Linked DNA regions of Oryzias latipes. The protein of the gene in region 1 binds, or shares a complex with, the protein of each later gene. Links are inferred from orthologs where the notes say so. Each region holds a gene or a part of one and is shown on either strand. Other genes may lie near its edges.

Region 1 (4,056 bases):
GGTTAGGCTCTGCCAGCCCCTGACCCCAACAGGGATTCAATGGAATCAAAAAAATGGATGGATGGATTTTCACTAACATTTCTGTTATTTCCTCTGGCAGCTGTACCTTAAAGAAGGCATCTACAAGAGCAAAGGTTTGTTCTCTCTTGAAAATGACTTGCAGGTGTTTTATTTAGAGTAGAGTCCAACTGCTTGCCAGGATTTATCTAACGGATATTTAAAAAATGTGCAGGAAGTTGAAACTCCAAATCCTTACCTTGAGTGAATCATCAGTCGAATAACTTTTTCAATGGTCCACTTCTAGACAGCATCACGAATCCAAATGTTTTGATAAAAGAATAATAACTGAAAAACATTAAAATATTAAAGAAATGTGTTTTACATACATTTTTTTTAAAAACAACAACACTGAATTTATTGAATGAGCTACGTTGTTACCCACTTACTTTCAAGAAGGAACAAATGAGGGTCTTATAATTGTTTTTTTAATTAGCTGACAAAAGATGGCAAAAGACACAAAAATCCTGGAGTGATGGCACAAAACAACTCCCTGCCTACAGAGTGGTGTCAATGAAAAAAATGACAAAGAAATACTATTTTATTCTGTTGTACTTGTATTGTCGTTCTTCTTGCAAAAGTTTTGTTGTTGTTTAACTTAAATTGTTAACATTTTGTGTGAGGTGTGTTTTTTTACTTGCATTAACAGTAAAATGATAATGATCATTTTAACAATCGCTTCATCTTGCCTCTTAAAAAAAAGCTGTTCAGTCTTTCTCTGCTATCTAACTTGATGTTGACGGAATGGTCCATTGCCACACAGGGACAGGGGAGGACAAAACACTTTCACACGAGCAGTCTTATGCCATTTCAGTAATTTGGGCTTTTTATGACAGATTTAAACTATTGAGGAAATTATTTTAGACCATGTTTGTAAATGCCCCCCACACACACATGTGCAACAAGTCCGCCCCTGTACAATACACGAACTTCCCTCTGCTGCACAGGACTGCGATGCCAGCAGTCACCGGCAGAGGGCGCACTGCAATCAGGGCCTGACATGGTGCCCGGAAGACCAAGGTGTAAACATTTTTGTGACGTTCAGCTCACGTCCACCCGTTAAGCGAAGCATCAGCTGCGCTGGGTCTGCAGGTCGTGACAGCACTGCTCCGTTTTCGTTCCACTGGTTCGTCTGGCCGCCTTGTCCCTCCGTCCTCACGGCTTTCATTCCACAAAAAGGCCGATTCCTGAGAAAAAACATGCAGAAGAGAAGGAAGCCAGAACCGATCCAGCTGAACCCGATTCCCGACGGAAACACACTGAACGGAACCGGAGCCTCCGAGTGAGTGTTGGCGATCAGCTGTTTGTCACATACGAAATGTTACATAATTATGTTTACCACAGGAATTTAGAGCTTTTGGTGTGACAATAATCTGAGACACTGTCTGCACCGACTGTGGGATTATTTATTTATTTCACAGTTAAAACTGATTAGAAAGATAGGTTCAAAAAGTACTACTAACACAAGAACCTCTATTAGAACAGTACTAAGAAGACGAGCAGTGAATCCAAAGATACAATAGCGTCAAATATTTGTAAAAATGTTTCAAATAAACAAAAATTGCAGTGTTTTTTTTTTAAATTTAGGGGATCTGCTTAGAGAATCAGAGAAATCAAATCTCTGTCACAGATTAGTGTTAATACAGCTCTCCTCACTGTGACTGATCTAATCATCACTGTGAAATAAAGTGGCTCTCCAGCTCTCTTCAGCTGATTTCTGAGGGGAGGCACTGTTTAGTGATATGCTTGTGTGGGTTGGAGGTAAAGAGAAAAAAACCAACATGATAATGGAGAAATAAACCTGTTGTGACACCTTGTTTAGTGTAAATCTGTGGAAACAATTCTTTGTCATTCCACCAATAAGCTGGATCCCATTACATAACATGGTCTTCACTATGAAGCCTGTTTGTGCAGGCAGGATGCTTTCTGGTTTCTTTATTAGATGCAGCCTCTGAAAGTGATCTGTAGCCTTTGCAAATGAGCACATGAAGGAAATCTAAATCAAGGATTGGGGATATTTTTTTTTAAACTGCTGAGAGTATGTGGTAATACTGCTGTTTAATGTAATGTGAGGATGCTAACCTGCAAACAGGTGTTGCTTTGTTCTTGTTGTTTTTTAAGCAGGTTTTTTGGGGTACATTCTGACAGTTATCTGAAACAGTCTAAAAAGCACTTTCTATATTCATATAGAAAAAAAAAGGTCCATTAAATTACACAGATTTTACTTTCCTAGCTCCATGTGAAACTCAACACTGTATGGCTCCATAACAGACTATAATGTGAGTGCTTGATGGCAGTCATCTAGTTTGGTATGTATTCTCCAGATCAATATTAACTGTAGAAAGCTCTTCTTCACATTAGCTCCTCCAATCCTGGCCCTTAGTAACATGTGATCCAAAATGTTGTTGTTCACCTTTCGGCATATCCCTTCAGAGGTCGCCTCAGTGAATCAGCTTTTACCGATTTACTGAAGGGACATGTGTTTTTGGCAGTGATTTTTACGTCGGATGTCCTGTATTTTTGCTGACTGGGGACCGGCACAGGGAAGACCCAGACTTGGGGGGGGCCCCCCTTGGGTCTTGCTCAAGGACCAACACTGGATGAAGCCTGGTTTCCCATGCGCCAGTCCTACACTCAGCTAACTGAGCCATCCAGCTGCTTGACATGTGATCCAAAATGTATTTTTTAGGTTCCGACATGAACTTTTAACAACATTGACTGACGTATGTCAAAACAGGAAATCCACTATTTTGCAAAAAAACATTTTGTGTGATGAAAAGAATGAGTCAAGTAACCATAAAGGTTAGTTATATGTATATGTCTAGCATTTCTAAGCATTGGGTAGTTTTCTATTGTCAGCATAATTTGACAAAAGTACGTTTTACTGTGTAAGCCTCATTCTCCTGCCTCCCTATGTTGTTTTGAACACACCTGTGCGTACAAATGTATCTCCTTAACCCTGTGGGTAGAAAGGGAATCAAAGATATAACAAGACAAAACAATATTTCATTAACTAATCTGAAACTCTCCTCTTGCTGCATAGAAGCCTACTCTTTTTTTTTTTAACAGATCTGAGTTCCTTCATTTAAGTTTCTTAATATTCATCATTTTTGTCATAAACTGTTTTCAAATCCACTGTTTTTGCTGACATTTGTCTGCAAGGCTCGGTGCAGAGCTGCAGAACGGGTTTCTTTCGTACCTTTATCTCCCATTAGATGTCCTTGAATATGACGCGAATGGATACAAGAAAGGCCGGCTACGTGCGCACACCCCCTGCACCTCAAGTGGTGCTGCCCCTGTGGTTGTTGCACCCACATATATTGTGTTGAGTGTGTTTCATGCTAGTTCTTTTCTCATCTCCTCCACCTCCAGCTCTTGTTGACAAAACACCCACGCCGCCCACATCTACATGTAGCTCGTTTCCATGGATATGCAGCCCTACTGACAAAAATAAAAGCACTTAAACCCTGTCTTTGCTGCATGACGGAGCATTAGAGGAGAGCTCAATGCCCAGCTTTGAGTAGTTATCAGTGAGTTGTGGTTCGACATGGACGTAAAATTCATAGCTGTGATGAAGCTGAAGGAGACCTCTACAGCAGGAGATCAGTCAATGCTCCTATGATATGTAGAAATCATACTTCAGGGCTGCGCAAAACTGCTATAGTACCGAAATGATCGGAATTCGTTTTTAATACAATGTAATTTGATTTATTTCAATTATTTTAATTCCAATTCCCATTTCAAACCCAGCTGTGTTTGGTTATGAAAAACTATTTCCACAAAACATTTCATTTAAAGTAGGTGAATATTAAAATGTCATTAATCAAACTAGACATTCTTATGGTAAAAAGTAACAGAAAAGGTTTGAAGACTGAAGGGAAAAAAAAGAAATAAGCAAAAGGGGATGAATGGATTTTGCTCTGTTAAAGGAAAGCTCTATTAATTTAATAGATTTTTTGAAACCCAAGAACATGTTACATTGCAAAACCTCTTCTCAAG
Region 2 (8,591 bases), on another chromosome or scaffold:
CTTGAAAGGTGCAACACCAGCCAGCTAAAGGCTCATCTCAGGGTGCTGCCGGTGTAACGGACTCTTGGAGATAGACTGCGTGATAAGGACACACTATACAGTCATACTGAGCTGCACTTTGAGGGCTGCGGTTTACCAACACCATGGTGTTCATTGTAGAACTTATTCACAGGACAGATCAACACATTTAAATTGAAAGCACGGGAGAACCATAGCTAGAGATGACGGGCCTCAGAGAGGAACATTCCTACATGATGCAGATTTGAGGTTATCTTATATTTTGAAACAGCCGCGATTGATGTCATTTTAAACGTCAGCACAAATTTCAGCAAGGCTTCAGTAATTATTGTGCCCATTTCGAATTGTAAACACAACAAGGCTGGAATGCAAAAACAGGCGTTTGAGCTTGCACTGCATTTCCTAGTAACTGTTTTAAGTTTTGTCTTCATTAAATGACATAGTTCTAAATATTTCTACATCTGCATTCATTTGTCCAATCAACTATATGTACATGAATTGTTTAAGCTACAATTACTGGGTATTTATTTGATTTGTTCCAGACCCTAAACGGCACCTAAAAATATTTATTTTTGTGACCTAATAAGCTGTTTTTTCATGATTCATAATAGGCCTGCTTAATAAATCGCAAATGTATCGTCATTGCAATATCAGTGCTCCGCAAAAGACAGCATACACTTTGATAAATGGTTACCTTAAATATTTACTGCACACATACTAAAATAATCCCATGGCAGTTTGAATTATTTAACGTATCAAATACTGTCCTTTAAGCATTTCACCAATCGGATGGGCCACTTCACCTTGTTGACCAATCAAATGAAACTCTTTTGTTAGATTCCCATCTCCTATGTAAATGTGGATCATTTGGAGTATCATTTATGTCATGCTGACATTTATTTAAATAAAACTGTTGCAGTGAAATGGAAATGTTGTGTAAGTTGTTTTGTGTTTTGTCATTTGTTCATGTATTGCAAGTTATATCGCCATTGCAATATTGTTCACTAATATCACACGTCGTAAGTTTTCCTCATTGTGCAGGAAAGAGTTCATAAGGGACCGTGGAGGACCTTGAACAGGGGGCCACATTTTTGAGTCTTTGTTAAAAATAATAGTTGAGTTTGGCAGCACATTAGCCCAAGTTTGTCACTTCTGGCTGAGCATTCATCCTCTTAGGACAATTTTCTGGAAGCCTAAAACATTTTTAAAAAAACGCTTTCTGAAACACTTAAAGTACCCAAAACCCAAATATTCACCAATTATCCCAAAAAAAGTTTCCCTTCTATTCCAATGCTCAAAACCCAAAGAGGAATTAACCAAGAGCCCCCTGGAAGACCTTTATCAGGCGGCCCCTTGGGAAGCAATTCATAATTATTTAAAAATGAACATTATTAGTAATTATCACAAATATTCCATATTCAACTTTAAAGAATTAGTCATAGAAAAGAAATAGTTTAATATTTAAACCTAGCAATTGCAGGAATACCCTAAAATACTTTATGAACCAGTAAAAGCTATTTATAAACCCACTTTGAGCTATTGTAAAATCATTCCCAGTGGTTTTTTCATGACGTCGTTTTCTAGGACATGGTTTCTGCAGAGTGGCTGGAGTTTCTTAGAAATTTGTCTCTGAGTTGTGGGTGGTACCATTAGCTGGGAGCAACCCCCCCCCCCCCTTCCCCTCCCCAGTCTAGAACAGGGAGTTGTAGCCCACTTAGTTGTATTTTCTATGTAACAAATACAATCTTTTTCAAGCAGTATTTTCTTGTCTGCTCCTGATTCACAACAATTTGAATAAAGAAATACTCAGAAATGCTATTTTGAGCACATTTCCTTAATACATGTCCTCCATAATCAGAAAAATTCCACAAGAACACATTAAAAACACTGAGACACGATTAGGTTTCCCTGTCGATGTGCGCAAAACCGTTGCATGTTGTCCCATAGTTATTCATTGATAAAATTACAGTGCTGGTCATGTGGCGCTTTGGTCATTTCTGAGAACTTTCATGCTCAGCTGTTTTTGTTTCAGTTAAATTTGTTCTGCCATCAGTTTATTTGCTATTGCTGTCTGGTCTGAGGTAGATGTAGGGAAACTTTGGTTGTGCCAGAGTACAGAGTAATTAAGAATGAATGGACTTCAGTCTTTATGTCTCATATTTTATAAGTTTGTTCACTGGATATGTTTTTTGTGTCTCTGCTGAGGCACACCGCCTCTTTCAGCTGTAGTTCCCCAGTCTCTTTTCTAGCCCATCTGTCTAATGTTCTCTGTTGCTCCCTGCAGGTGAAGCTGATGAAATACATCTGTAAACAGCTGCAGTGCAAGCACAAAGTGCCAGAGACAGACAGGCCAGAGGCCCTGGAGAGCTACCCTCACTTGCGAGACTGGCTGCGCACCATCAACCTGCGGACAGAACTCATCAAGGTAGGCCGACTTTGTCTGATTGCCAGACTATTCTAGGGAAGGACTGTAGTGTTTGTATTACAAATGGCGTGTTCTCAGAAAATGCAACCAGTGTTACCCGTTCAGTAGGAGTAGGAAGAATTTTATTTTTATTCCTGATAAGTGGCAGAAAACCTGAACTTGAGCCAAAGAGTTTTTGTCCTTTTTTAGCATGCACTGAAGTGCTCAGAGAGCCCATGGAGACTGAAAGAGCTAGACAAAACATTTGTTAATGTTTTGCAATATATAAAAGACTTTTCTTTTTTCCAAGTCCCCAAAATTAAGCTTCCAGTTCTAATTCCTACCATGTTTGCAAGTCTAGAAAGGGCTTTTCCACAGGAGTGTGAGGAATGTCCCAAAAGCAAATGTTTGCTGAAGACTTCACAGGTCCACATGAAAGCTTTCTGGGATTGTTCTGGTCTTCAGTTGAGCGGAGAGGATCCCACACCAATTTGTGAGGGTATTTAAATGATTTTAAACGTAGGATTATTACATCCTTCAGACGACAATGGGTTAAACTGCAGACCGTGCCCTGTGTAAACATAAACTTTCCAGATGACTGAGGGAATATAATTCCTGTTAGAAACTTGTTTGGTTACCTGGATTTTCATTGCCATGTCTGCTGTAGTTTTATATTTTTAGGTGGAGCAACAGTAGAGACTCACACACGACGGAAAACCTTGTATAAAGTTTTTTACTTTTTGTATCCCATCTATTTAAGGCATTTGTGTGTTATTCTTTTCCAAATTTCTCTTTCACTTTCTTTCTATTTTCTCTTATTTTGGTGTGCAGAGAAGCTCCTATTCTTCTTGTCTCATTCCTTTGCTCTATACCTGTTATTAGCAATTATTACCCCTAAACACGACTACGTCAGGAGTTTTCTTTGAGTCAGAAATTTAATGTATTTTGAAAAAATAAGTACTGGCTCTGTGGATGTGGAGCTTTTGTTGCATCCTGATGACCAACTTTGGTCATCATCTCAGATTATTACACTGAAATTTCCACACTGTAACTATTTGTTCTCCACTGCGGGGTCGGTGTTATGTTATGTACATTTCAGAGCCATTAACAGGTATGAGGAGCCTGTACTGACAGCAGCTGTCCAGAGATTGGTACACATTTTCATTTAGCTTTATGCTGGAACTGTGCACAGATAACTATAAAAGGGGTTTCTAAACGAGCTAATCTATAGGGTTAACAGGTGTGCAGTGTTGGATGACTGTTGCATTTCCGCCCAGCAACAGTGCATGACGGAGTAAGACCTCAAGAAAGCGATCATTTGTAAGTGTTCTGTCGGTTGCATCGGAGATGTTGCAAATGATGAGGTGGGAGGAGTCACAGCAGTTTTAAGTACAACATCTCCCGCTCTTGCTTAGCCTCTCTGTGCGATAAAGTCTTGCTTGTAGTTTACACACGTGTGGGAGGTTGCCCTAGTTTTGCAATCAGTGTTTCTCTACTTAGAGTAAAGGTTTAACTGAGCCATTAAATCGGCACATGCAGTAAAGAAAACCTCTTATCTCAGGTAGTGGTTATTAATCATAAATACTCCATGAAACTATGTCAGGTTTATAGGAAAGGTTGTGTTTTTCTCATGTTGGCAGGAAAGATATTTATTGGCCATTGTTTCATATCAATCTGTTTACGTTTATCACGGCTATTCCACCATGATTGTACATTACTCACATGGTTTGAGATCTGATCACTCTGGAAACAACCCATCCACCATGACATTATAACTGCATTCTAAACAGTTGACTGTATACGAGAACTGGACTGAGTCAGTGTGACATCTCCCATTACTTTCAGCTCCAACGATATGAAGTCAATTCAGTCCCCATTTAGTCTCGATATGGATGCCACCATGTTGGAACCAGACAACAGCAGTAGGCATCAGTTGGTATGAGTCAGTCTCAGTCAACATTTCTATGGCAACCAATCAGGAGTGAGCTTGTTGGAAGTCCACACCCCACACAAAATGGGCTTGGGAGAATCTGTCAATCACACGTTTTGAAGATGCAACGTAAGACCTCATACTTTCATTGACGCGCCCGATTGGCCAGTTCAGAACTTTAGTAAGTTGCACCACAGAAAAACTTTGTATTAGCAAGAACATGTTAAAAAAGATAGCAGAGCAAGAATGGCTATTCTGACTAATAGAATGACTGAGTATTAGCTATTTATGAGAAGTAAATGGAATTTTCCTTCTTGGAGCCAATTTGGTACTTCCTATTTGGAACGTGACGTTGAAGGACTCCGTCCAGTTCTCACATACAGTCAATGTTCTAGAAAGTAGTTTTAAAAAAATTATAACCTTTTAATACTTGCACTGTTATCAGAAAGGGGTAGACCTGCTAATTACGGTAGCAAGAACCACAAGGGGTTTACTTTTCACTTCAAAATTAGGAGCCAAAAATGTACCAAGAAGTCATACCCCATATAATAACACCATCGCCAGGAGAGTGATGCTTCAATCAAAGTAAACTTAATCCTTTGTGTTATGGTTATGAATGAACAAAAACTCATTATACAAGATATTTTTTTTCCCTCGTCGATTGAGAAATGTGTTGAGTCTGGCAGCACTTTTAGCCTAAGTTTGTCACTATTGGCTGATTTTTCATAATCCTTGGACAATTATCTTGAAGTTGAACAGATTTTTTTTTTTTTCCAGTTACTGAAATACTACTCGTACCTAAAACCACAGCATCCTCAAGCTATGCGTAACAGTTCCCCTTAATGACTTTTCTCTTCCATTCTGACACTTGGGACCTAAAGAGGAATTGAGCATGTCTTCAAGCCCAAATCCTTTGAACTGTTCACCTTGTGATTGACTGTTTCCATCTGTTGGTAGCTGTAGCAATGAGGTAGTGGTTTAGCTTTGATAGCAAGATGGTAGGTTTAGTTACCACTCTGATTGTAATGAAGTGTCTTAAAGCAGGGCACCGAAGGGCTATAACTGTACATGTCAATTACCAAAACATTAATAGGCGTATTTAAACAGAAGTCTATAAGTTTAAATATTTCTGGCTTTGAGCACTTTGTAAAACGTTTTCAAATCAATTGTAAGCCCAGAAGCATGTTTTCTGTTAGTAGTTTTTCATCACCTGCAAAATATGTATACTGGAAGCCAGAAACATACATCCTAATAAGGAAATCCTCCATTCATCAACATAATTCACTTTATTTCATGTTCAAATGCGGTCCATAAAAGAAGACAGATACAACATACATAGTAAAAATAAATAAATATACCAATAAAAATAGAAAAACAAAACAAAACTACAGTTTACAACCATTTAAAAAGGAGTATAACCTCTGTGCCCAGTGTGGCGGAGTTGAGCGGAATGAGCCTCTTTTAGGATCAGTCAAAAACATAATTGCATTTTTAGACTTGTCCAGGCGCTCCATGAGACTGTATGTAAGCGTACGTAGTAGTGCTTCACAGGTGGGGATGTGAGCATCCAGAAACCACTGACTGGCTCTGTACCAGGGGTTTAGCCTGTAGCAGAAGCTTAAAGGCATCGTTACAGGTCACTATGAATCTACGGATTGTCCCACCTCCATAATTCCACCACAGAGGAGCAGTATACAGAAGAGGGCAGTAAGCTCTGAATAACGAACACTTCACTTGAAGAGAACACATACTGGATTTTCTCATCAGCATATTTGCCTGAGCGTAGAGTTTGCAGTATGGTCTCTGAATGTCTCTGTCATCCCGCCAATCATCAGAAATGAAATTTCCAAGATATTTGATAAATGAGGTTTGTTCCAGAGGCTTTCCACAAAGCTTAAAAACAGGAAAGTTTACTTTTTGTCGCCTTTGTTAAATATGTTTCTTGGATTTATGTATGTTAGAGCTTGAAAAGCTGGTTGTTGTTATACTGAGCATATTTAAGGCAATATCTTTCTTTGTAAGCAACCTTTTTTCTCCTTGTTTTTTAAAAGTTGAACATAAATGAATCAATGGGTTTGTTTTATGTCATGTGTTTGTTCTTTCTTTACAAGGTCACTGAGCATCTACTTCTCTCTTGTGACTTGTTTGCAGGCAGTTGAAGCAAAGTTGTCTCTAGACGCTCTGCTTCAGATGACAGACGTTCAGATGAGAGATACGATGAGAAGACTCGGGTCCAGTTCAGAAGAATGTACGAGACTCAGGTCTGCCCTTTCATGTCTGAAGAGTGCTACGGAGTCAGGTATGGAGTACTACTGTGGGGTCATCTTGATTTTAAATGTACTGGTGTAATATAAATAAAGTTTAGCCTCAAATACAAAAGGATTTAGACAAATAAACACCTTGTGTGTCTGAAGATCCATAACCCCCTACTGTAACAGTAACTGTCCAACACATCTGTTTGCGTCACTGCTGGACAGGACAAGTTTAAAAATTGTAGTTGTGAACTCTGTCTTGATTGACTTGACTGTCATTTCACAGGAGGAGAATTGAGGGAGGATGCCACATACTGGTTATCTGAGCCCACCAGGAGGGACAGTGGCTCCCTGCTGACTGCAGACCAGCTCTCCAACCTGGGAAATCGTCCTCACAGTCCATCACCTCTTGCCCGCCCATCTACTATCCAGTCAACCCCATCCACCCCAAGTGCTACGTTTCCCCACCCCCGCTCAGGCTCAGTCCCCACACCAGAGGCGCTGGCATCATACATCCACAGTGAAAGCCCACTCACTGATCCATTCCCGCCACCTTATCCCCGTGCTGCCTGGCTCCACGGACACACCTCCACGCCCCCCGTGACTCCACCCTCAAAAAGGCGCCACCGGCTAAAGCCTCCATGCACCCCTCCACCTCCATCGCGCAAACTGCTGAATCTGCTCCCCAACATCACTTTGACGCGCAGCAAAAGCCACGAGTCCCAGTTGGGCAACCGCATCGAGGACCCTCCCACCAACAAGTAGGTCTCTGAATGAAGCCGTTAAGTAAAGCAAACGAGACACAAATAGATTAGATTGTGATTTGAAGGAAGATTGTTGGGTCAACACAAACTCTAAACACTAAGGCCACATGTAGGATCTAGATCAGGAGCCTTACGAATGTTGGCAGTGCTAACTGATAAGGGATTTGCCATTAGTCTCCGTCAGACAGCCTTTTCGCACCATCTCCGTACCCCTTTCCAAATACACTGTTCTGTGTGGCTGGGTGTGTTTGTCTGCAATCTTTTCACTGCAGTAGGAGTGGAAGATGGACGGCTTTTCATTGTAATCCGCTGGAAGTTTCTGCGCCACCGTAGTCCTTGTCCGGATTTACAGATGACGGCGTTTCATAAAACGAAAGCACAAAGACAGACCTCCATGAAAATGTTCAATTTTCATTTCCTCTGCAAGCGTTCACTGCCTCCAGTTGAATGGTGACTGTAGAGACGCCTCTCCCAGCTGTTCTGTGATCATTAATCCATCACTCGAGTCGGTCTTCTAAATCGGGCCACATCGCCTTGTTTCCGCGGAAATTCAGCTGCGTCTTCTTGACTGTCGGAGTTCGTTTTCCAGCTTCCTCCACTTGCGAACCACAGATTCATTAATCTTGATTTCTCTGGCAGCTGCTCGATTCCCAATTTCCTCCGCGTAGCTGATGGCTTGCAGTTTAAACTGCACTTCATAAGCGTGTCTCTTTGCAGGTGGAATTTTCAAGGTTGCCAAAACGATGTTGTTCTGGATCATGCACATACCTGCACTTTTGTACTATTCGTAGGTGTGTTTTCTTTCACGTCCACACTTCCCTCCTTTACCATTCTCATGCTGTCCTCTCCTACGTCCTCTTTACTGAAGTCAAGCAACACCGCACCATAGGGCACTCCATACATTTTGGAGAAAGTTTAGAACTTTTAGTGCTTCTTATGGTCATGAAAATACGGTAGACTTTTCTTTGGAAGTGGTCGCTAAATCACGCGTTGCAGAGGGCGGCGTATAGATAGCTTTAGATGATTGTTGGTGGAACCACAGAAGGCAGACGCATTGTAGCTCACTTTGACAGAGTGGACAAGGTATGTTGAGTTCTTGATTAAACATTTTTCATAGGGTTTTTGTGAATCACTGTTCCTCTGGCTCACCAGGACCAGTGTTTGTTGGGAGACTATTCCAGGGGCAAATGCCTGCCCTTTGGCAACATAATTCAATTGAGCTC

What was found. Proteins that work in one complex are often made in the same cells at the same time.
Region 2: the proteins of map2k1 (region 1) and ksr1 are in contact, whole or in part, in a crystal structure (PDB 9AXH), measured with the Homo sapiens proteins. The link is inferred for Oryzias latipes from reciprocal best matches to the Homo sapiens genes MAP2K1 and KSR1. Residues at the interface, in NP_002746.1 of Homo sapiens: Asp217, Ala220, Asn221, Ser222, Phe223, Val224, Gly225, Thr226, Arg227, Ser228, Met230, Arg234, Leu235, Gln236, Gly237, Met308, Ala309, Ile310, Phe311, Leu314, Asp315, Val318, Asn319; in XP_011523731.1 of Homo sapiens: Asn767, Gln768, Leu769, Lys770, Leu771, Ser772, His773, Leu776, Val784, Arg785, Met787, Thr788, Pro789, Asn823, Gln824, Ala825, Ala826, Glu827, Ala828, Ser829, Ile830, Trp831, Gln832, Gly834, Ser835.

The regions. Positions count from the first base shown.
Region 1 is NC_019864.2:16,494,862-16,498,917, reverse strand, and holds the start of map2k1 (dual specificity mitogen-activated protein kinase kinase 1), read left to right. Parts: upstream 1-1,256; coding exon 1,257-1,339; intron 1,340-4,056. UniProt on the Homo sapiens protein: Dual specificity protein kinase which acts as an essential component of the MAP kinase signal transduction pathway.
Region 2 is NC_019872.2:17,290,605-17,299,195, reverse strand, and holds part of ksr1 (kinase suppressor of Ras 1), read left to right. Parts: intron 1-2,302; coding exon 2,303-2,443; intron 2,444-6,503; coding exon 6,504-6,651; intron 6,652-6,890; coding exon 6,891-7,365; intron 7,366-8,591.